4 linked regions of the Saccharomyces cerevisiae S288C genome follow. The gene in region 3 interacts genetically with the main gene of each other region. Each region holds a gene or a part of one and is shown on either strand. Other genes may lie near its edges.

Region 1 (8,523 bases), on a different chromosome or scaffold from region 3:
AGCTACACTTCCACCGTCAAAGTTTACGCTGCCTCAGATTGTAACACTTTGCAAAACTTAGGTCCTGCTGCTGAAGCTGAGGGATTTACTATCTTTGTCGGTGTTTGGCCAACAGACGACAGTCATTACGCTGCTGAAAAGGCTGCTTTGCAAACCTATTTGCCAAAAATTAAAGAATCCACTGTTGCTGGTTTCTTGGTTGGTTCTGAAGCCTTATACCGTAACGATTTGACTGCCTCTCAATTATCAGACAAAATTAATGACGTCCGTAGTGTCGTTGCTGACATTTCCGATTCTGACGGAAAGTCATACTCTGGTAAGCAAGTCGGTACTGTCGATTCCTGGAATGTTTTGGTTGCTGGTTACAATTCTGCCGTTATCGAAGCTTCCGATTTTGTTATGGCTAACGCGTTCTCCTACTGGCAAGGTCAAACCATGCAAAATGCCTCTTACTCATTCTTTGATGATATTATGCAAGCTCTACAGGTTATCCAATCTACTAAAGGTTCTACCGATATTACCTTCTGGGTTGGTGAGACCGGTTGGCCAACTGATGGTACCAACTTTGAAAGTTCTTACCCATCTGTTGACAACGCCAAACAATTCTGGAAAGAAGGTATCTGTTCCATGAGAGCTTGGGGTGTTAACGTTATTGTTTTTGAAGCCTTTGATGAAGATTGGAAGCCAAACACCTCTGGTACCTCTGATGTCGAGAAGCACTGGGGTGTTTTCACTTCAAGTGACAATTTGAAATACTCCTTGGACTGTGACTTTTCATGAACGCTTTAAAAATACTCTTTAAACAAGAATGGCTTTTTCCTTCTGTTTAGGTGAGGAATAAGCAAAAAGTAACAAAAAAAAATGTTATCCCTTCTTTTCTTCCTTATTTAGGCTTTATTTTATCTTTCACTTCTTTTACGTATTTGAAATATCCTTCGGTTTTAGGATTTTCACTTCTAAGTTTTCTATTTTATGCCTTCCATTTTAAATTCGTATTTTGTGTATACTTTATTCAGTAAACAGACATCCCAATAAGTTCTTTGAATATCTTCTGAAAATGATGTATAAATATATATTTCTAGAATGAAAAAGGACCGAAGGCGTTGTCCAGTTTGCCTCATAAAAAATGAAATGTTCTTTTCGGAATTTTGAGTATACAATGTGGGTATGCAATTATATCTATCTATGGCACACATAACTTTTTCTGCAAGTCATAGTAGTGGGTTTTCTTTTCTAGTACTAATTTGTACCATCGGCAACATATAAATAAATAAAAGAGAAAAATCATGCAACAAATAATATAAATTAACTTCTGTTCTCGAAATCATTTTCCACAATACCAGATCTAGAACACATGCTTCTGAAAATACTATCTTCTTGACTAAACAACGTCCATGGTGTATCGAATTCTGCGACTTCACCCTTCTCTAAAACAAGAATACGATCATAATTTACAATGGTCTTCAGTCTGTGAGCAATACACAAAATTGTACAATCTCCAAATTCCTCAACAATACGTGTTTGGATTTTGCCATCCGTTTCGTAGTCCACTGAGGATGTAGCCTCATCCAAAATCAATATTTTTGATTGGCGGACCAATGCCCTTGTTAATGCTAATAGTTGTCTCTCACCTAAGGAGAAATTGGAGCCCTCTTCTTCCACTGCTTGATCTAAATGGAACTTATGCATTTTACCATGAGTACCATTTTCATCAGGTTTTTGCAATTTCACTTCCGGCAAGTCATCCTTGGCGATAGCACCACCTCTCACCAATGCATCCCATAATTCGTCATCTGTACGCTCATTAAATGGATCTAAGTTCTTGCGAATCGTACCCCTAAATAATACTGGATCTTGTGGAATGATGGCTAATTTTCTTCTTAAATCGAAAAGTCCCAGCTGACTTATATCAACATTGTCAATTAAAATTTTACCTGCGGTCAATTCATTCAACCTGTAAAGGGCACTCATAATAGTGGACTTACCAGCACCTGTACGACCACAGATACCAATTTTTTCCCCACTCTTGATATTCAAGTTAAGATTTTTTAAAACTATAGGTAAACCAGGTCTATAGGCAAAATCAACATTTTCAAAAATTATTTCGCCCATTGAGGGCCATGACTCTGGAGGTGTCATTTCGGGCTTTCTATAGGATGCCTCTAGTGGTAGTTCAGTTGCATATGTTACCAATCTTTCGGCACTATTCATGTCATTCTCTGTTTGAGTCATTGCCCTTAAAATGGTATTTAATAGACCAGGCAATTGTAATACATAAGTCAACAAAACACCAACTGAAGCCGCGGAAATAGGAAAGGCTCTCGTAACACACAATAACGTAATAATTAGTGCAAATGCGATAGCAACCATATCAAGGAAAATACCTACCCATCTTTGCAGGACAACTACAAGGTATCCCGCCTCATTCATCTTGTTGATCAAAAAATCTGATTTCGCCAAAAATCGTTCCTGACTTCGGTATGCTTTGATTGTATCCATCCCACCCAAAACTTCATTTAAATTATTGTAAACAAAAGACCGTTGCACAGCTTCAAGTCTTTTAATTTCTCTACCAGAACTCTGATAATGATCAGCAATCAGAACAAAGATGACCAAAAGAAACGGAATTGCGATAGCAAACCACGGCAAGTAAACAATACACATGACGCAAACACCTACAATATTAGCAAATTGAGATGTCATCAACCGTAAACTTTCGGTTAACTCATTATCTAAGCTATCTGTATCTTTTGTGAATCTGTTCAGAATACGTCCCAAAGGTGTGGTATCTATGTATGACATTGGAGTGTGTAAAATTCTTTTCACAGCCCTCAAATTTAACCATTTCGATGCCATAATACCCATTGCGCAAAGTATGGTGAACTGGCCATTCATGAATATGAAAGCAGCAAACACAAAGAAGGAGTAAAGACCCATATAAAAACTGGGTGGTCTGTTTTTGAATTTATTCTCAGTCCAGTAAGATAACCAAACGGAAGAAAAAAGTGAGCAGAATGTGGTTCCAACGACTAAAATTGCATACAACGGTAGTGCGATAAAACCCCACTTACCTACTGCAGCTTTAATGTATTCACGGTATATTTTCAGACTGATACTATTGACTGCTCTTTCTTCTTTACTACTAGTATGACCATCCGCTACAATTTTACCACTATTTGCAGTTTGTGACATTTCTGTAGCCTTTTTCTTCAGTTCAGTCAATTCCTTTACCTCTGATTCATATTTTAGTTGTCCCAATTCACCGGCAACAACCGCTTCCTGTTCTTCATCCTCTTTCTCCGAATTTTGAGAAGAGAATTGTAAAAGATTTATCAAAGTTTGATTACGAGCTTTTAGCTCATCAACAGTACCAATATCGACTTGGCCATCAGTACCTAAAACGATGACTCTAGAAGCTCTCTCAATCAGTGACAATTGATGCGTTGCTAAAATTCTGGTTTTATTAGCAAGCATTCCGGTTAGACATTCATCCATGATGTGTTTACCAACACGAGAATCGACAGCACTTAGGACATCGTCGAATAGATAAATATCCTTCTTCTTATAAACAGACCTGGCTAAATTGATACGTGCCTTTTGACCACCAGATAAAGTAATACCACGTTCCCCAATTTCGGTCATATCGCCTGCCGGTAAAATATCCAGATCAGCTTTCAAAGAGCAAACACGAACTACTTCATCATACTTTTCTTTATTGAATGGTGAACCGAATATGATGTTATCTCTTACAGATGCATTTTGAATCCATGGATAACCACACATTAATAAGTCCCCGTTGACTTCAACCTTACCATCAGTTTTTCTCATTGATCCTGCCATCGCATTCAATAATGAAGATTTACCAGTACCAATAGGTCCCGTAATCATAATAAATTCGCCCTTTTTAATATCGAAGTTCAAGTCCTTGAAACCCCTAAACGAAGTTTTTTCTAAATCTTCCGGGCCGTCTCTGTCTTTCAACATATTGTCCAATCTTTTCGCCTTATTAGTACTTGCAGATGGCTTACCCCATGTATCCTTACGCTTTTTTTTGTTCTTTTTACCTTCATCTTTAGCTTCTCCTTTTGCTTCTTCAATAGCGTCGTTTAATTCATAATCTTCCCACTCAAATGAGCAATGTGTCATTTTTAAAGCCAATTTTGGATCAAAGCCAGGAGAAGGCTTCATTTCAATCATCTGATTTGGATCATCTTCTGGAGCCTCCAATAAGCTTTGCAAACGGCCCAATCCAATGATCATGTCAATTCCAGTACCAATAGCAATAGGTAAGAAAAACATTTGCAAACTCAAGACCTGAAATAAAGATAAAGAGGCAAAAATATTACCAGGTTGCCTGCCTCCTTTATTAACTTTGTACATTGCAAGGAAAGTGACCAATGAAGCAATACTAGGCAAAGACATGGCCATAGCAATCAAGAAATTTCTTGATAGTTGCATTTTTCTAACTTTAGAAATCTCTTTGGTCCTAATATCTTGAATATTTTTTTCATACGCATCCTCCCACGTATAATATTTAATCATTTTTATATTATTCAGCACTTCTCTCATCATGGTAACTCTAGCATCAGTGAAGATGTTCGCAGCAATTCTAAAGCCCAGAATTAACTTAAATGCAAATAAGGATATGAAAAACCCACCGAAAAAAATACCAATCCCAACTAAGGCAATGGGTCCAAGGTTAACGATCAATAAAACAATGCAAATAGCCAAAATTGCAGGGAACCCAGCCAAAAACGGCTGAAAAGATAAGGCAAATTCAATTCTAGCGAGATCTGTTGTTACAAAAGAAGTCACTTTACCGTTAGGAAAACAATGTCTCGCATAATTAGATGCATTAAACATTTTCTTCATGGCAGCTTTAGTAAGAATAGACTTAGCTTGCACACCAGTCAGTTGGGATGTATGAAAGAAATGGTTGAACGTCAACCCGTTAACGAACATCATCAAACATGCACCAATAGCGTAACCAATACCTTTGTTAACATGCATGCTATGAAAAATAGCCTTTTCTTCGACAAACTCAATTAGCCTCTTGGTAATCATGGGGTTAAAACCGGATGTACAATTAGCGAGAATTGCAAACACTATCGACATGAAGTACTGTTTCTTAAAAGTGAATAATAAAGCTCTCAGAACTGTATGTTTAGGTAGTTTGGCATTTTCCATAACCTCTTCTTCTGTCGCTTCTGGATGTCTTTTACGGTATTTTTTCCTCGTCTTCTCAAAATAGTAAATCATGTTTTTTTCAAAGTCGTCATAAAGGGTCTCTATAGACATCCTCGGATCCATTTTGAAGAGATCGTTCGGCTGTATCGTTCTCTTATAACCAACTCGCAGGATGGGTAGAACCCACCAAAAAAACATGTTAGAGATAATATTTGTATGGAACAGAGGATATATCTTCCTCTCGTCATCGGTTTGTGGTACTTCTGGAATTTTCTTAGAGTGCAAGAATGAAAACAGACGTTTCTGAGGGAAAATATCAGATTCTGTCACTTTTTCGATATCATCGCTATTCAAGTAGGTTTGGGGCTTATTTCTGTCCACAATATATTCACCTGTAGGCAGCAAAGATTTGTCATCCCAAGAAGACGATGTGTCCTTATCAACATCTGTGCTTATGTCTGAAGAAGCAGATGCCTTGGGAGATAGTACCACGTTTTGACTTTTGTTTTCCAGCTCCGTCTCCGAAACTGCATCCCCCACGGTAATCGTCATATTCGTATATAGCAACGGCTTTACTCTTTTTGAATATAAAAACAGTAATATTAATCTTTTTCCTCGTTCGTGACACTACTCAGAGGGCACCTGTAAGGAGAAAAAGGTATGGAAATGCGTTCTTCCTGTTCTTGTATAGCGCAAAAAAAGATATACACGCGGAGAGCTGTTCTACCTCCGTATTTATACTAACTGGAACAAAAAATATTTCAGTGACACCTTCGCTAGCTACCTCTGACAGATGTGTAATAAATATATATATGTATGGTAATCATTTAAGGGACAGCAGATCTATTTGTAGGAAAAATATTGCCACTTTCTTACCTTGGCTTTTTTCATTTCCACGGGTGTTAAATCATGTCCGTCATATTCCCGGCAAAATTTCCGGCTATTTCCACGGAACCACGCGTTATCTTCATACAATAGCACATGCCAAAAATTACAACAAAAGCACAGAAGCAAAAGAAAAAAAATGTGCCATTTCCGCCTCGCGGTGGGGAGGAAAATAGAAGCGCTTATCGCAAGCATTTAGTAGAGAACCGTGGATAAAAACGCAGCAACTAAAGAAGGCGACTAATAAAAATTGAGTATGCCTCTCCTTAGCGTAAACAGTAACTGCGTGCTATAAGGTGGCACTAAACTTCCTTCTTCCCCTTTCTATCGGATTTGTGCAGCCAGGAGGGATACCAGTGACGGCTATAGCGGGAGAAAGACGGGCCCTCTCACAACCCTTTGCCCCTTGCGGTTAGTCATATAGATTTTGCTTGTGAAGAGAACTGGTCGGTTCAAAGATGCTTTCTTCAAAGTACTATAGCCTTGCCCACTCTCTTTCTCCCTTCTGATCTCTTGTATGCTGATTTTACTTTAATAAGTGAAGGTGATCAATCAGTCAACTAACAAATTAGCCGCCACTGCAAGGATATTTTCTCTGTCGTTGTTGTTTTCCTACAAATATAAACAACCGGGTAACAGTCAAAGAAAAAAAAAAAAAGAAAAGGAAAAAAAAAAAATATGAAAAATTTTGTTCTGAAAGAAGCGATGAGATGAGTACTCAATAGTAACATATAGGCAGCTTACACCATTAAACAAAGAAGCAGAATGGGTTTGGCAGCTACAAGAACCAAACAGCGGTTTGGTTTAGACCCCAGAAATACGGCATGGAGTAACGACACCTCGAGATTCGGGCACCAATTTCTAGAAAAGTTTGGATGGAAACCCGGTATGGGTCTGGGGTTATCCCCCATGAATTCGAACACTTCGCATATCAAAGTGTCAATTAAGGACGACAACGTTGGGCTCGGTGCTAAATTAAAACGTAAAGACAAAAAAGACGAGTTTGATAATGGTGAATGCGCAGGGTTGGATGTCTTCCAGCGAATTCTTGGTAGGCTGAACGGAAAGGAAAGCAAAATATCAGAGGAATTGGACACGCAGAGAAAGCAGAAGATTATTGACGGAAAATGGGGTATCCATTTTGTGAAGGGTGAAGTTTTAGCAAGCACGTGGGATCCAAAGACTCACAAGTTAAGAAATTACTCCAACGCGAAGAAACGAAAGAGGGAAGGAGACGATAGCGAAGATGAAGATGATGACGACAAAGAGGATAAAGACAGTGATAAAAAGAAGCACAAGAAGCACAAAAAGCATAAGAAAGACAAGAAAAAAGACAAGAAGGACAAAAAGGAGCATAAGAAACATAAAAAGGAAGAGAAGAGATTGAAGAAGGAAAAAAGGGCGGAAAAGACCAAAGAAACGAAAAAGACGTCAAAATTAAAATCTAGTGAATCTGCATCCAATATCCCCGATGCGGTAAACACAAGACTATCGGTGCGCTCCAAATGGATAAAACAAAAGAGGGCCGCGTTGATGGACTCCAAGGCACTGAATGAGATCTTTATGATAACAAACGACTAAACATTCCATTGCGTTTCATTGTGTGAGCAGCTGGCCAGTCTGCACACGCAGCAAGATATATAGAGTGGGGAAAAATTCTTCCCCGGTGCCAAAGAAAAAAGCAAATAAAAATGAAAAAAAAAAATGTGTGCCAGTACGACAGCATACCGCAACGAGTTTTTACATACATGATTAAACTAGTAAGTAATATTATAAGTATTTATTGAACTTATTGCGCCACGACTTCTGCCCCTGCAAAACCTTCAGCTTTATTAGGTGGGTTTGATGGAAGATAGTAGAGCAAGTGGAAAGCATAACATCGCTAACGTCTTCCACACCCTCCATAAAGCCGCTGCATGAATGATAAACGGGCTCAATTCGTATCAGTGTAACCAAATCCATCAATTAACGCCCAATCGAGCTCGTTAACTCCATTTTGGGAAAGAATCAAGATGCCTAGCCCGGCCTAATCGAGATGCATCCACAAACGACCCTGCACGGTCATTTCCCAGAGGGTTTTGTAATTTGTAGGCACCGCTTTTCGCGCGACACCCTGCTGCAATAGGATCTTCTCCCTAGAAACACGCGCAACGCACCTCTTTTCCCTTTTCGTTTAGCCTCTCCAAATGAGGAAAATAGGCACATGATTCCTTTTCACGCGCATTTTTTTCAGAAATTTTCTCTTGTGGTGTTGTTTCAAAAACGGCACCGTTGTTTTTGTTTTTTTTTTTCTGTTTTCTCCCATTCCTCGAGGAGAAGATCTCTGTTTTATAAAACTAATAGATATGTATTCTTTATCTTCTGTCATAATTGTTTTCTGTTTAGTAGTTCTTTTAGCCCTTATTCTATTCTTTTAATAGTGTTTACACAAAGGTCCAGCTAGATATCTAA
Region 2 (5,372 bases), on a different chromosome or scaffold from region 3:
CAAATTTTGAACTTCATCATAGCGGATAAGATCCTTATGAATCACTTCATCTAATCGCTCTCGTTTTTCTCGGTATGCTCCAGTTATTTCAATTGGGATGTTGTTATCAAAGAAAACTGGTTTTTCCATGAACATAGTCAGGAAAAGTTCGTCACCAAATTGGCTTTTTATAATCAAAAACGATTTACAGATATCACGAATTTCTCTACTCACAGATTTAGTATTATCTCGAGCAGTGAAGCTTCTCATAATTGAAATATTTCCAGGCGCGTATTGTCTGCCATAATGGGAGAGAGATACATCGCATCCCATAGGAACTTTAACCATTGTTTCGTTAATACTTTTTTCAATACCTTTAAACGGCGTTTCATTCGCGCTATCAAGTAATGTATTATTTACCACTGCTTTAAACTCGGGATTCGAGCCAGGTGATCGCGTTAAGACCTCTGTTGTATAATCTTTAGTTAATAAGTCGTACTCATCAAAATTGCCATAGGTGAAATTTTCATCGCTTTGGTTCAAAGTTACCATATTTTGCCTACCAATGCTGAGAACTGACTCCTTTGAATGTAAAACTGTGGATTCCTCATAATTTCTCTCTTCGGTAACGTCACTTCGATTATTGAGGCAGTCTTCATTAAAGTTTATTACAATGGATATGGTATCACCAGTCTTGAACCTACAATCATCTATTTTAGGTGAGCTCGTAGGCATTATTGGAAAAGTGTTCTTTCTCTTAATAGAAGAGATTAAATACCCGATAATCACACCCAAAATTATTGTGGATGCCCAGATATCTTCTTGGTCATTGTTTTTTTTCGCTTCAATCTGTAATCTCTCTGCAAAATTTCGGGAGCCAATAGTGACAACATCGTCAATAATAAGTTTGATGGAATCGGAAAAAGATCTTAAAAATGTAAATGAGTATTTCCAAATAATGGCCAAAATGCTCTTTATATTGGAAAATAAAATAGTTGTTTCGCTCTTCGTAGTATTTAACATTTCCGTTCTTATCATTGTAAAGTCTGAGCCATATTCATATGGAAAAGTGCTTTTTAAACCTAGTTCCTCCATATTTTAGTTTTTTATCGATATTGGAAAAAAAAGAGCTATCAGAAATCAGTCAATATATCATGTACCTATGGAACCTTATCTTTCTCAAAATAATAAATTATAGTGATACTTTTAGAATTGTGTCACTTTCTTTTTATTTGTACTTACAAAATTCGGCCGAGTTATCATCTCGGTAACCGAGAGGAAGAGCCCGAGCAGCTAAAAGCGACAAACCGTACAGATAAAATGTTCGTGCTAATCCAAACTGCAGCATTCCGTATAAATTTGTCAGATATACTGATCAACTTAGATAAAGTTCCCCACTCAACCTGCTTTTGTTTATTACTTGCAAGGTAGATGGATGGTCGAAATTGATCAAACAGTTCGTTTCTTCAACCCATGATTTTTCTTACGTTTCATCTATATTGTTAACTTGTTAGCGCGAGGTTTCGATTTCTTTGATCTGTCCTTATGAACTTTTTTTGATGTCTTTTTCTTGTCATTCTTTGCGTTATCTGTGCTTTTTGTAGGAAAAGAAAGCCCTAGCTCCAACTGAATAAGCTTATTCAAACTTAAACTAAGTTTTATATTTTCTGCAGTGTTGGTTCCGAATGACGCAGCTGAAAAGCCAGACGACCACGGAATGATAAAGATTCTAAAACGGTCAATAAGTAAAACTCCTCTCTTTAGGCCCTTTGGTGTGACAAGTGTCTCACTTATTTTACTGACAAACCGCTCCCCCAATTCACTAGATTGAAATCTTAGGCCACCACACTTCGCCTTGTGGTTGACTATTAATGACAATGAATTTCCATCCTTCCATTTCTTTATACCCAATAATTGCGAAACTGTATCAGTTATTTTCCATTCAGGGATCGAGGCATCAATATTATACAGAAAAAATGATTTGGTGGAGGGGTTTTTTAAAAACGATTCATTCAAGGGTAGTTTCTTCAAAATATGAGAAATGTCCACGGACGCGTACTTTTCCAAGTTTTTGACCTCATTTGCACCTTTTTCATTTTTATACAATGCAGTTGTGTTTTTTATTAACGGAGTACTTGGGCCATCTGATGTTGCTCGCAGAAGTATATTTTTCAATTTATCAACGATATTATCTGCTTCTGACGGATCACTCGTAATCTGAGCTCCTCCTAATTTCACGTTTTTTAGTGACAGAAACCTTTTCATCATGTCGTTTTTTGCTTCCTCCGTCATAACGTTTTCCTCGTTCACAAGGGATATTAAATGATCCCGCAGTTGTATAGGGATGTGCCATCTTGAATCAAGCATACAGCATTGACAAATGTTTCTCTGAGTGGCGCACCGTACACATATTAATGTTTTAATGATATTATTGCTTCGTTTAGACGTCTTAAAATGGTATAAGGTGAACGGTAAGGTACAAATCTTACATTCAGAGCCTTGTGGAATTTTAGTCATTCGTATATTAGCCTCATCACCTAAGCACTGCTCACATATATTGGGCGGTGGCTCATTAATTTCATCATTCATTATATTAAGGGTGCAATAACTCTTTTCCGTTAGCTACCTTCTATTCACCTGCTCAAAAGCCCTTCCATCATCATTACCACTTCTATCAATAAAATTTGCCATAGCATTTCTTTTTTTTTTTTTTAGTCCTTATTGCCTAAACGTCATCACAGGAGAGGGTAATCCCGGAATGAATAAGGTTTGAAACTTCACGTCCCTCCGGGTTGTGACTTAAAAAAATTACGAAAGAGAACCGACTATCGTTCCTGCTATTGTTCTTGGTGAGTATTACTAACCCGCTTAGTTTTATTACTATTTATCAGTCTTTTATTTGTACGTTATTTGAATATTTAAATGTTTTTGGCTGAGCTCACTCACATCAACTGCTAGCCTCCCTCCTCTTCCAGTTTCTTTTCTTCTTGTTTGCATGAGTTCGATAATGCTGATTACAGTTATCATGTCTACTAAACCTCTGTCCACAGCCCTCATGCGGACAGATATGATTTTTTTCACCTGTATGGATTCTGTTATGTCTTGAAAGATGACCAGAAGTGGTGAACCCAGTAGAGCAGATCTTACAGAAATGACGAGTCCTCTGTCCTGCTGTATTGGTTTTCGTAGATTTCAATTTTATCACGGTTTTTGTCGGTTTGCTTATTTTAATTGAGCTATATGGATCTGATTTACCGTTACCGGTATTCTCTGCTTTTACAATATTAATATTTTGCAATGGCAGTATCGGTGACGTTTTTCCACTTGCTGTTAATCTTGAAATAGTCCCGTCACTCGTTCTGTTCGCTTGTTTTCCGGAGAAAAAATCGAAAGCGCACTTATTCAATTTATCTTTCAAGTCATCATCAATTAGATGTGATGTTTTCATCAAGGGTATCAGGGTTTGGTATTTCCTTTCATTGTTAAAAGAGAACATTTCAGGCATAAGAGTTATCTGGGAGGGCGAACATTCGAAATTGATGGGAAATTCACATTTCCTATCTTTAGCTAGAATAGTTGACATCAAGTTGTCTTTGTAACCTATGGACATCTGGAAATTTTGTAGAAGCTTTATATTTTTTGTTCTTCGAACAGTAGCGAGTGCTCATATGACTTGGTGCCGGAAATTCATTTGAGCTGTCATAATATGATAAATATTTATATGTAAAAATTTAGGCCAGATAATATATAAAAGATAAACGATTTAAAGAGGGTGTAGGATTTGCCTGTTAGCGATGTAGGAGCTACTGCACGATGTAGCATGTAATAGCCAGACGTGATTCCCCTAAACTCAGGCCCTTCTCCAAGGAGAATGCAACGGTAGGCAGTTCGTTTGAAATTGAAACTTTTCTCAACGACAATGATGTCCCGCAGCATAAGAAAACATGAGATCAGAAAAGCGTTGCAAAACGCAGAAGCCACTTATCAAGAGCTACGGCTGCGCGTTTTTCTGGGACGTGCTGACAAACGAGAAAAAAGATGGCTTTGTATTCAGTTCAAGGCCCTGTGTATTTTTTTCCTTCAAGAAATTTTTATTTTGGCCTGGGGTCTTTAAACGGACGGGTGCCCTGAGAGTACTCTCGCATAATCCAGGGATGGCTTTTTCACAGTCGTTTAACATTCGTTTATGAAGTAAAGAAAAAAAATACCAAACCCCGTTAAAAGAGAAAAAAGGTAGCCGAACATTGAAGCAGCCCATGCCAGTTTGTCCTTGGGCAGATAGTTTTCCGTCTGGCTTGAAAGGTTATAGTCTCCTTTTTTTCTTGGCTTCGGGAAAAATACGATTTGTTTGTTATTCTATATGCAGAGCCGCTGCTCTGCAGGGATTTATGATCTCGAGTGCCATTGATCTTGAAGCATCTTTTGTTGAAAGGATTTGTATGACATCATACCCGAACTTTTTTAGCACGTGAAAATGGAGAAGTCTATGGTTTTAGAGGTTGCTATTAAGGCATTTTCTAAACTTGAGGGTTGTTTGATCTTATGTTGGTTGGTTGTAAGCCAGCCGGTGTAGCCACGTGTTAAATCTTGACTTTTTTTCCCGAAGAGGGTCTGGTCCTGTCTATTTTGTTTCATGCATATTTTTTCTCAAGGAGAAAGACTCTTCGCTGCGCCTTGGCATAATAACGTCTTCGGTAGGGTCCATTTTTTTAACGTTGGCGATGCCCATATTTAGCTCGTTTGGTCGTTCCTTCGAAAGATAATCGTTCGTAAATTAAAAATAAAAGAGAGTAGTTTTCGAGCAACGAGTAGCCAGCTGGTGCCAATTGTCAAGAAAGGAAACATTTCTTACGGATTGGGAAGAAGCACTAATCTCGAAAAAGAGAACGTTTTTAGAAAGTTTTAGAAGTTGATTATATTAATGAAGAAAAAATTTTCGAACTAACAATTACATAAAGAGAAGGTATAATAATGGAGGTAATTTTTCAAATATTTGTTGTAAAAGGTTCCCTTTTATAACAATAAAGCAGCTGCACCTGCAACAACAGCACCGAAAGAGGCAGCGCCTGCATTGACTCTTTGACCGGCATTGGAAGCAGTTTCGACTGTAGAAGTGCTGACAGAAGAGGTAGTTGGAGCGACAGAAGAAGAAACGGCCTTAGAAGATGATTCGGCAGATGATGATGGGGCAGCAGAAGAAGATGGGGCAGCAGAAGAGGATGGAGCGGCAGAGGATGTAGCTTCGGAAGAAGATGCAGCCTTGGAAGAAGATGCAGCCTCGGAAGAAGATGCAGCCTCGGAAGAAGCTGGGGAAACGGAGGCAAGAGCAGCAGCGATTTCAGAACTCAATCTTGTGGTGTACCATGGCAATTTAACAATTGTCTTAGTGATAG
Region 3 (4,981 bases):
GGATCTTTTATTAGGCATACCGGAATTCGATATTTCCGAAGAAGAAATTGTTACCAATGCAAAAAAGGAGTATAATGATAATGATTTGAAGATGAAGAAGCGTCAGGGGGGTTCTCTGATTACAAGCTCTTCAAATTTTTATGAACAAATAGAGGAGATCATGAATTCCATAGAAGAAATCCCAGAAGACTATATGATAACGAAGAGAAACTTGAATCCATTAGCAAGACTAAAAAAAATATTCTTTCCTAACAACACTTTCACTGGAACTGATGCGAAGATTGAAACCTTTAAAAAAGTGCTAGACTTTTACAAAAGTTTGCATTTGAAAATTAAGCCTAAAAAAATGGAGGGTTTCCAAATATCGTTCACCGATTATTGGGGTAAAGCAATCGTTCAAAGACTAAAAAAAAATTTCGATGACGATCCCAACCATTCCTTTTCGTTTTCGAAGCTTGTAAACTCGTCTAAAAAATTTAAGGAATGCAGTGTGCCGATCCCAATATTCGTTGCAAATTGCAAAAATGGACTTCTTTCAAACGTTATATTTGAATTTACGCCCTTTGAATTTGGATCTTGGGAAAATATCCTCAGACTTTTCGTCAAGTTGCCCTATTTGGGCTCAAAAATTGTTTCTGGAAAGGCCGAGAAGTGTATTAATAACTTTGATGATCTAGGTTTTATTACTGCGACGTCTTCTTCAATATTCAACAATGTGCTCATCTTCATCTGGAATTTGGCTTCTCAGTCCTCCAGAGAAGCAATGAAAGCTTTGAATATGGTTATGGGAATTTTTGGCCTAGGTAAAGAGGAAATATTTAGTATTTCGAAAGACTCCTCGAGATTAGAGACAGACTATGCCGTATATCAACCCAATCCCTTTTATCTTTATCCTGAAAAAGACAATGTCCTAACTAACAAAAATCATTTATACCTTGTAGACGGCGGAGAAGACGGCGAGAATATTCCACTCAGAACATTGGTGATTCCTGAAAGGGAACTAGATGTAATTTTTGTTCTGGATTCTAGTTCGGATATTGACAACTATCCAAACGGCTCCAAGTTAAAAAGGATATTCGAAAAATTAGATGAAGAGAACGTTCATTACCAATTTCCGAACAATGTAAAAACATTCACTCACCCCATTGTTATAGGATGCAATGCTACCAAAAGAACTGGACATGATTCATTTTTGCCAATTATAATTTATCATGCCAATGCGAATCATGGAAACGCATCTAATACGTCGACATTCAAAATAACTTACAATCAGTCTGAAGTTAGCAGTATGTTACCCACTGGAAGGGGAGTGTTTAGCAATGATTATGACCTTTATTATAAAAATTGCTTAGGCTGTATATTAACCAAAAGAACAATGGACAGGCTCCCAAGAAAAAAGAAATTTTCGCCATTTTGCTTACAATGCTTTAAAGACTACTGTTACTCATAAGAGAGTAGACTTTTTCTGTGAAATTTAATGAGTTTTTGTTCACCTTTTTTACTTTTCTTCTATGCCATATGGTTAAATAAAACATGGTTCAAACGCGATTCTTTTTTATTATCTATGTCTTTATTATGTAGTCTTCACTATAATAACCGTTAATGAGCGACATAGTTGCATCAGTTTTTAAGGCCAATTTGATTCAGAACCTTTTCAAGTTCTTCACTTTCCATCTTATCCGAAGACGCGATCTGGTGGCATCTAATACTATGCTTCTCGAATATCGTTTCATCAATTTCAATTTCACCATTTTTTAGGTAAACAATATCAGTAATAAAATCTTGCCATTCAAAGTCATCATTCTCTGAATGGACACCCTTAGATTGCCTATAGCCTGCTATTGCCCTACTCATAGAATCTATGATCATTTGAACGTAGTGTAAACCGTCTAAACCAAAAACCTCTCTATCATATTTATTATTTATGAGCAAAACTTTTTTCGTATTATTAGATTCCAAAATTACTTCAGCAAGATTACCAAGAATAAGGATTGGGAGTAAACTTGTCATTAAAGAACCGATAGAATAAACGACCATGTCAGCTTTTTTCACCTTGGAAATAGCTCTTGGATTTCCCATTGGTTTTATCTCTTCGCCATATGGGTTTATATACAATATCCTATGTACCGGAGCAGGTAGATTCTGTGATTCATCAAGCTTGTCAAAATGCAACTGGGAGTTTTTCAGTTCTGGAAGAATATAGATAGGATTGGCATACTCCTCTTCCGCTTCTTCTTCCTCATCGTCGAGGAGAATTTTCAAATGGTCGTCATAAGAGCCAAGTAAATGAATAAATTTAGCTGAATGTGCTATGCTATTATCTTTAGGAACAGATTTCGAGGGATGCGATATTTGTGATTGGCCAGTTATCATCTCACCATTCGTCAACAAAGCCGAGATATGATGTGTGTGATTGGTATTTATACATGGAATAACATGAACTAGAGGACTGCACCTTCCTATCCTCATCATTAGTTCAATAGATGCGTCTAGAGAACCTAAAAACAATCTAGCACCAGTTAAGAAAAAATTTCCAATGGATGCACTCTCAAACTGAAATGGATTCGAGTGTTTGATTTTTTTCAAGAGTTCTGCTTGCATATGGATAATAAAAGAACGACACATTTCCTTAACTTCTATCGAAATATTTTTCCATATGGGATGCGAACCTTCCACTATTTCATTCCATTCTTTCTTAGCTAATAACTTATCATTAGGTAGCCTATGGCCAAACAACTCGACAAGCTGTTCATCTTGAAGTAGTCTCACTATTCTAGATCTGATATCACCAATTGCTGGGCCACCAACTATTCGTAGAATTTCACTTGTGGACCCGCCATTATCTGATATTGGCAATATATACGTCAGCTCATGTCCTTTTAAGATAGAAATATTAGAAAAGCAAGGAGTCAATGAATTTGTGGCAGTCCCACCGGAGCACACAACGACGTTCATCTAGTAAACTATCTCACCACACTCTGCTATTTTGTCCCCTTATTACCTCGAGGGAACAAAAGATTCCGTTTCCTCTCTTTCATAGTCCGCCTAAATAGCTTAAGAAATAAACCCAAACATCACACATTAGCGTTCTTTAGGAAATACGAAACAGGTTAATACAACAGTAGTAACTTTCCACATAATATCTAAGCATTACACGCTGAAAAAAACTCTTTATTGGATATCAACAACCCAACACATTGTACGACATATTCTTTTATCGTTCTACTATGGTACCCTGTTCAAATCTCTTTTTCTAAAATGAGCGAAATTTTCGAAAATTATCGCATAATTTTTCATCATCTTAAATTAAAAAAATACAGTGTCCTCTATTGTTTATCTCAACAGAACGCACACATTCTTGAAACTTGCTCACATAACATAAGCTGGAGTGACATAGCATTTATATATATACAAGGGAAATGGTCAAAGCTGTTATTTTTACCGATTTCGACGGTACCGTTACTTTGGAAGATTCTAACGATTATCTGACCGATACTTTAGGTTTCGGTAAGGAAAAAAGATTAAAGGTCTTCGAAGGCGTGTTAGATGATACTAAGTCTTTTAGGCAAGGTTTCATGGAAATGCTGGAATCCATCCACACCCCTTTCCCTGAGTGTATCAAGATCTTAGAAAAGAAAATTCGATTGGATCCTGGTTTCAAGGATACATTCGAATGGGCTCAAGAAAATGATGTCCCTGTCATCGTTGTTTCCAGCGGAATGAAACCAATTATCAAGGTTTTATTGACCAGATTAGTTGGACAAGAGTCTATTCACAAAATTGACATTGTTTCCAATGAAGTGGAAATCGATGCACATGATCAATGGAAAATCATCTATAAGGATGAAAGTCCCTTCGGACATGACAAATCCAGAAGTATCGATGCTTATAAAAAGAAATTTGAATCTACCTTGAAAGCAGGTGAACAAAGACCCGTTTACTTTTACTGTGGTGACGGTGTTTCTGATCTAAGTGCTGCAAAAGAATGTGATTTGCTATTTGCCAAAAGAGGTAAAGATTTGGTCACTTATTGTAAAAAACAAAACGTCCCATTCCATGAATTCGATACCTTCAAAGACATCTTGGCTAGCATGAAACAAGTTCTGGCTGGTGAAAAGACAGTCGCTGAATTGATGGAAAATTAGTGCAAGACTCTTACGAAATATTAAAGTTTAATACCGTGTAACTGCCTCTTACATATGTATGCATATATACGTACGTACTATATTTTTCTTGTATATCTTTTTTATTGTCTGAGAGAAAGAACATCAAAAAATAAAGGAAGATCCTCCTCGGATTTAGCATGCTTAATGCCGAATCTTTAATACAAAACGAATGATATTTCAAGTATACTAATTAGAAATCAATCAAACATACCAAAAGGGACAGTAAAGAGAAAAGCAGGAGCTCTCTTTTAGGGGAAAAGTAAAATGTGATTAGTATTTCGTTGCGTGTACTAGTCAACTCTTCTTGTCATTCTTAAATTTACATTAATTACCCCAATTTTGCATCTTCGTATATAAGAGTGTTCCCCTTATAAGCTTTCTCCTGCACATACCTGCAGTAAACACAAGCAACACTTTAGAGATAGTTGTCCAAGTTAAAATGAGTAAAATTAAAGTTGTTCATCCCATCGTGGAAATGGACGGTGATGAGCAGACAAGAGTTATTTGGAAACTTATCAAAGAAAAATTGATATTGCCATATTTAGATGTGGATTTAAAATACTATGACCTTTCAATCCAAGAGCGTGATAGGACTAATGATCAAGTAACAAAGGATTCTTCTTATGCTACCCTAAAATATGGGGTTGCTGTCAAATGTGCCACTATAACACCCGATGAGGCAAGAATGAAAGAATTTAACCTTAAAGAAATGTGGAAATCTCCAAATGGAACAATCAGAAACATCCTAGGTGGAACTGTATTTAGAGAACCCATCATTATTCCAAAAATACCTCGTCTAGTCCCTCACTGGGAGA
Region 4 (6,387 bases), on a different chromosome or scaffold from region 3:
AGTTATGCTTTGAACTTCATTCAAAGGTCGCCAAGACCAGATATGGATCTCCTCTGAAATCTTCTATGCCTGTCCTGCAGATACGGGGGAGAGTCGATAAAAGGGTATGAACTATATCTTTTGTTTTGCTGTTTCGAATGAATACTTGGGGCTGCTATTGGAATATTCAGTACAGGAGCGGTTCGTCTGATAGCATTTTTGAAAGCTTCATTTATGGAGATTGACACGGCATCGGTAGGGTCGCTCGGATAGAGAAAGCTTGCATTTAGATTAGAGCAAGTGTTCGATATCACGGAGAAGCTATTATCTGTACATCCTTGTTCGTATTCTTCATCCAGCAAGTAATTAAGGTCGTCATCATCATAATTATCATCATCATCATCGTTATCATCATCATTATTAATTATTTCAGTATTGGGGGGCTCTATGTCCGAAGTAGGCGGCAGTTTGAATTTATCGCTCAAAGACTCATTATTCCCAATAGTAGCTCCTTCATTAATATGCGAAAATTGGCAAATTTTGCTAATGACGTTTTCAAAAGCTTTCACACTATTTTCCAACTCTGATTGGGATTGACTAATCAAAGGTAGAAATTCGATTTCCCAGTACCGTTCCGGATTATAAAAGCTAATAAAGTATTTGAAACCTGCGCCATTTAGCCTTGTTATTTGTAGTTTGGGTAGTACTGGATGCACAATATCACCATGTCGTCCTATCGATAAATAGTTTACTACATGCCCATCATGACTACTAGCTTTACTAGATTTTTGAAAGGGCGCTATATTTTCCTTTAACTTATCAAACCCTGTACATATCTGATATATTTCAATAGGTCCTTTTGCCATTAAAGATGTAGGTTTTAACTTAATAGTGTTTTGACTGTCTTGACTTTGCGTATCATTGAAGAATACTCCACTACTTTCAGTGACATTATTTGCGGATACTTGGGAATTTCTACGAATGCAACTGCTATTCGGAATATCATTATGAATGGGAACGAATGAATTCATAACCTGAACATTGCCATAGGTAAACAATGAAAATCTCTGAGTTGATATTCTTTTCCTTTGTGTTCCGGTTTTCTTCGAGGACGTGCCATTTTTTTTGGCTTTAACAGATTTATTTGTATCGTTTGAGTGTTGGGTCGAATCCTGTTTCAACTTTTTATTGTTGCTAAGTTTAAGTGACTGTTTTAAAGTTTGAAACGTAGATTGAGGTTTCTTTTCTTGTTTTGCCGTTAATCTCACGCTATTTTTCTTTGTTTCTCCCCTTGATAAAACCATACCACTTTGTTTAATTTCCTGAGAGTTATCAGACGAAAAATGTAGACCTTGTATCCTTCATAGGTGAAGGAATACTTCCTCCGTAATAAGGTAATTTAAAGTTCATAGTTCATTCACTCTTTTTGTTTACATCTCCGTTCTTCGTGATAAGTTCATAGATAATAAGAGAACAAAGTATTTAACGCACATGTATAAATATTGTATTAAAAGGGTACCTTTATAAATATGAGATCCGAGGGACGTTTATTGGAATTATCTTTTAAATCGTCTATATCACATATTCCAGTATACATAAGTTTTAATTTTAGAAAACGTTTAAATAAACAAAGAGAAAAAAAATAAGACACAAAAAATAACAGTATCTTTATTCTTGACATTCATAAAAATGCATGATAATATTGGTTTCATGGGGTAGTACTTGTATTATTAAAAGAAAGGAACAAAAAATTCATTGTTCAAAAGCTTAGAGATAAAAAAAAAGAATTATAGACACAAAAGAAAAACATGGGTTAACATTAATTGACATTAATAATAGAAAGTGTAATAAAAGGTCATTTTCTTTTAATCAACTCTCTTTCTTCCAACCAAATGGTCAGCAATGAGTCTGGTAGCTTGCCAGTGAATGACCTTTGGCATTCTCATGGAAACTTCAGTTTCATAGTCATACAATTGTCTAATGGAGTTGTAAACGACATGTGAACCCTTAACACCAACGACAGCAGCAGTGTCAGAAATGGTCTTGTCATCAGCGTTGAAGTTTTCTTCGGCAGCACGAGCTTCAGCAATGGCAGCTTGGTTGTCTTTGATGAAGCCGACAGCTTTAATGGCCATTCTAGTGGCTCTTGTTCTATCAATTGGAGATGGCAAACCACCTTGTTGTACATGACCTGGATAAGCTGGCTTAGCGTCAAATCTGCCATCGGCTTCAGCAGTAATAACTTCAGCCAATTTAGTGGCTGATAAAGCCTTAGAAGCGTTTGTACTCTTCAAAATCAATTTACCAAATCTACCTCTACCTTCTGCCTTTTCAAAAGATTGAGCTAAGTATTCAATATCCTCGGACAATTGCTCCAAAGAAATACCTTCTTCTGGGACATAAGAGACTTGAGCACCAACAGCCAAAGAAGCGTAAGTGGCCAAATAGCCTGAGTTACCACCTTGACAATCGACAACGAAGGCTCTACCTCTGGTTGAAGAAGCGGATTGTTTAACAACATCACAGTATTCCATTAGAGCATTCAAAGCGGTATCAGAACCCAAAGAGTATTCAGTACCTGGAACATTGTTAGACAAAGTAGCTGGTATCAAGACCATTGGGATTCTGAAAGCTGGATAACTTTCTCTTGCTCTCTCTAATTGATGTAAAGATTCAAAAGCTTCGAAACCACCAACGATGATCAAACCATCAAATTCGTACTTTTGGAAATAGTAAGCAATCATACCTAGATCTGCTTCTTCTGGAGTGACTCTGTTAGTACCGATTTCAGAACCACCACGGGATTGCCAACCCAACATATCCTTCCAGTTCAAAGAACGAACACTTTCATGTCTTGCCAAACCAGACCAACCATTGTAGATAGCGTATGGTCTGTGACCTTGGGACATACAGTAAGTAGCCATCGAGTAGACGGCAGAGTTGATACCACCAGCTGGAGCACCGACATTAACAATGGCAATCTTCAGTCTCTTGTCCTTTGGTAGCTTTGGTTCGTTGTGGTCAGCAGAGTTGATAGCCATGAAATTGTTTAAATGTTCAATGAACTCAGTGTCTCTTAAAGACATAGCTCTCTTGAAATCCTTAGCTTGAATGGCTTCTGCAACTGCTTTGGTCAACTTGACGGATTCCATTAATGGTTTACGAACAATTTTGTTTTCGTTAACAGCAATCAATGGTGATGGGGTGTCTGGAGTGGATTCCAAAACGGCATTAACGGCCTCAAGACCTTGTAAAGTAGCCAAGATACGGTCGTAAGCAACAGCAGTACCACCTCTTTGAACGTGACCTAAGGTAGTAATTCTTGTATCCAAACCTAATCTGTCAACTAGAACTTTGTGGACGTCGCTTGGAGAAATTGGGGTCAAGTCAGCAGCGATAGCACCTTCTGCAACAACAACAATGGTGGTTCTCTTACCCCTTGATCTGTGCTTGGAGACAATGTCACACATTTGATCTTGCCATTCGCTGGAAGTGGCTGGCTTCTCTGGAATAAAGATATAGTCAGCGGAAGTGGCGATACCAGCTAATAAAGCTAACCAACCACAGTTTCTACCCATAACTTCAACAACGAAAGCTCTTGAGTGAGAGTTGGCAGTGGCTTCAACGTAATCGATGGCCTTACAGATTCTGTCCAAGGCAGAGTAAGCACCAATAGTAGCATCCGTGGTGGACATATCGTTATCAATAGAACCGACAGTACCGCAAATATTCAAATGCTTCATTCTTTCGTATTGTTCGTTGGAAATTCTGTTTGTTTTCAACAATTCCTCGATCAAAGAAGGCCATTCTGATCTAAACAGATCAGCACCAGTCAAAGAACCGTCACCACCACAAACGATCAAAGCATCGACACCGGCCTCAATCAAATGTTGGGCACCCAATAATCTACCTTCGCGCTTCTTGAATTCCATACAACGGGCAGTACCAATGTTGGTACCACCTTCAGCAGACCAACCACGGACGTCTTCCCAGTGGAATTCCTTGATGTATTCTGGACCACCACGAACCAAACCTTCATAACCTTCCATGACAACAAAGGCACGACAACCTTTGAAGATAGCGGAACGCACGATGGCTCTAACGTTAGAGTTCATACCTGGAGCATCACCACCGGAAGTCATGACGGCAATTGCCTTTTGAGGCCTGTTCAATGGCTTTGGCAGAGATGGATAGGTGTCGGTGGTTTTCATACGGTAAGCCAAATCAGTGTAAGAGTGAACTTTAGAGGAAAGACCAGACTCAGCAGAAGCTTCTGGTGCTGGTGGTGGAGTTGGCTTGGTTGAAACTGCGTTCTTAGTAGAAGTAACACCAACAACGTTACCTAATGGGTCCAAAGTGTACAACTGCATTGGAAATAGTTCTGTTGGGTAGCCTTGAAGAGGAGCGTTCATAGCATTTAGAGTGTCCTTGACTGCCAAGATGTCGGAAGTGTTAAATACCAAGGATTGGGTGGCATGTGATCTCCAGTCTTGAGTCTTGGTAATACTGTTCAATTCCTTCAAATGAGCCTCAACATTTTTATTGATTTTTTCATCAGGACGTAGAAGGATCTTCAAAGAGATGGAATCGTTAGACAATAAAGTGGAGTTTTCATCTGGAGAAGAGCGGTTTTCTAATGACAAAAACTTGGTGTAAAAATCTATGGCAGCTTTATAAGATTGAACGGAATATGCAGTGACGGTACAATAAGAAGTACCATTCACAAAAGGAGTAGTAACAGTCATTGCGTATGGTTAGTTCTTGGCCAATGCTAAACTAGTCTCTAAATCTAGTTCTATTGTTCAAATGAGGTATAAGAAAGGCTTTTAAGCAAGAAGAAGGAAAAAAAAAAAAAAAAAGGAATTTTCTTCTTTATGAAACCGAAGATAAGAAGCTTTTAATCAAGGAAGTAATAAATAAAGGACAAAAAGAAGAAAAAAATATTATTGTTTTATAAAATGCAAGTAGGAAAAATAAGAATGAGAGCGGATAAAAAAAAGGCAGGAAAAAAAACAACAACATGAAGCGAGAGACTTCATTGCGATGTAATAAATGAATGGTAGATAAAGACCGGATGGAAAAAAAGGCCGATTTAACATGGCAAACAAAAGATTACATACGTACTGATCAAATTGATCAATTCAATATCTCTGTTTTCGTTTTTAACATTCAACTACCGTCATAGCGTTATACGTAGGAAAAAAAAACCGCAATCACGTAACCGTGGCTTCCACTAATCGGCTCTTGTGCCGTCAGATTCCGGATGTACGGGTGGACGCCATTTGGAACGAAAAAAAGAAATTGAAAAAAGTGGAAGCTAGAAATCACTGTCTTACCCTGGACGGTATCGTATATAATGACTCCGGTTTTTTTTTCTCTACCCCCTTGCCTCTTACCCCGGATTTTACCCAACTTTATCTTAATCTTCGTTTTCCTTTTAGCGTGGAGATGGTAAACGCTAGCGGTAACGTTAACGTTGCAAAGGGGGTATGCGGGACTGGCTGAAACGGGCGATGATACGATGCAACAAAGCAGCAGAGAATGGCTATGAATAGTCTTTACACCCACAGTTTTTCGTGTGGCAGTTACTATATATTAGTAGGATATTCGATCTATATAGATGGTAGTACTTACAATGCTGTTCTTGGGTTTTTGCGGATCTTCTTTCTTTTTTGTAGTTTTATTTTATGTCTTACTTCTTATTTCCTTCTTACTTCCTCATTGGTTAAGGCTCACGTTGATTGCAATAACAAAGAAGTATATACTGTAGCATAGCTCTTCATATCATTTTTGCCGTGCATTCGAAGACTATATATATATATGCATATTGTCTGACCTTTCGCCTTAAAGTAAAGAAGACAACAGAATATAACCATGCTGAGTAGCAGTAGCAATAGACCCATATCTGCCCATCTAACCATCCATTACAAGGCTATTCAGGAGGAAGAGGGGGAGGATATGAGAAGCGGTGCCGGAAGTGGTGGCCATCATGACGACTATTTTCTGGAGAGTAACAGATCTCCCACTCCTAATAAGAAACATGAGTTCATTAAAACGGTGCTCAATATCAACGATAACGACTCTGAATTTTCGGAATCGTGCTCACCAAGAGAGAAGTTACATAACGAGGGGGCTTGTAATACAGACCTGTTCGGGGACTTCATGTCTAAAAGACAACAGAGGCTGTCTAATTCTATGAACATTTACGACCTTTATCAGTGTGTACATAACCTGTCGCCTAGCAACAACAACCATCAGTTCATAGCAAGAAGGTTCAGCGATTCTCATATTCCCTCCTTGCATCACCGCCAGCAGCAACAGAAGGTAACAACAAAAAACTTTGTACAGCCCACGAAGGACATTCAAAGGATCGCCTCGTACGCTGCGGATTCAGACCAGAGAGTCAAG

Evidence for each region.
Region 1: mutations in PYP1 (region 3) and YOR1 together harm fitness more than expected from each alone (negative genetic interaction), as found in Saccharomyces cerevisiae (2 studies listed by BioGRID).
Region 2: mutations in PYP1 (region 3) and ECM2 together harm fitness more than expected from each alone (negative genetic interaction), as found in Saccharomyces cerevisiae (2 studies listed by BioGRID).
Region 4: mutations in PYP1 (region 3) and PFK2 together harm fitness more than expected from each alone (negative genetic interaction), as found in Saccharomyces cerevisiae (2 studies listed by BioGRID).

The regions. Positions count from the first base shown.
Region 1 is NC_001139.9:1,050,040-1,058,562, reverse strand, and holds YOR1 (ATP-binding cassette transporter YOR1), read right to left. Parts: upstream 5,740-8,523; coding exon 1,306-5,739; downstream 1-1,305. Other genes in the region: BGL2 (glucan 1,3-beta-glucosidase), read left to right, coding at 1-780; PXR1 (telomerase inhibitor), read left to right, coding at 6,838-7,653. UniProt on the Saccharomyces cerevisiae protein: Functions as a pleiotropic drug pump at the plasma membrane to clear toxic substances from the cytosol. Organic anion transporter involved in the detoxification of a wide range of toxic environmental organic anions that contain carboxyl groups.
Region 2 is NC_001134.8:367,111-372,482, forward strand, and holds ECM2 (Pre-mRNA-splicing factor ECM2), read right to left. Parts: upstream 2,569-5,372; coding exon 1,474-2,568; downstream 1-1,473. Other genes in the region: CNM1 (Cnm1p), read right to left, coding at 1-1,074; NRG2 (Nrg2p), read right to left, coding at 2,927-3,589; TIP1 (putative lipase), read right to left, coding at 4,993-5,372. UniProt on the Saccharomyces cerevisiae protein: Involved in pre-mRNA splicing. Facilitates the cooperative formation of U2/U6 helix II in association with stem II in the spliceosome. Binds to RNA.
Region 3 is NC_001146.8:610,216-615,196, forward strand, and holds PYP1 (putative phosphoric monoester hydrolase), read left to right. Parts: upstream 1-3,419; coding exon 3,420-4,145; downstream 4,146-4,981. Other genes in the region: SPO1 (putative carboxylic ester hydrolase), read left to right, coding at 1-1,450; YNL011C (uncharacterized protein), read right to left, coding at 1,621-2,955; isocitrate dehydrogenase (NADP(+)) IDP3, read left to right, coding at 4,606-4,981. UniProt on the Saccharomyces cerevisiae protein: Hydrolyzes sugar alcohol (polyol) phosphates. Dephosphorylates a variety of substrates, including: sn-glycerol 1-phosphate (D-glycerol 3-phosphate), D-ribitol 5-phosphate, D-sorbitol 6-phosphate (D-glucitol 6-phosphate), and D-erythrose 4-phosphate.
Region 4 is NC_001145.3:670,043-676,429, forward strand, and holds PFK2 (6-phosphofructokinase subunit beta), read right to left. Parts: upstream 4,725-6,387; coding exon 1,845-4,724; downstream 1-1,844. Other genes in the region: INP1 (Inp1p), read right to left, coding at 21-1,283; YMR206W (uncharacterized protein), read left to right, coding at 5,854-6,387. UniProt on the Saccharomyces cerevisiae protein: Catalyzes the phosphorylation of D-fructose 6-phosphate to fructose 1,6-bisphosphate by ATP, the first committing step of glycolysis.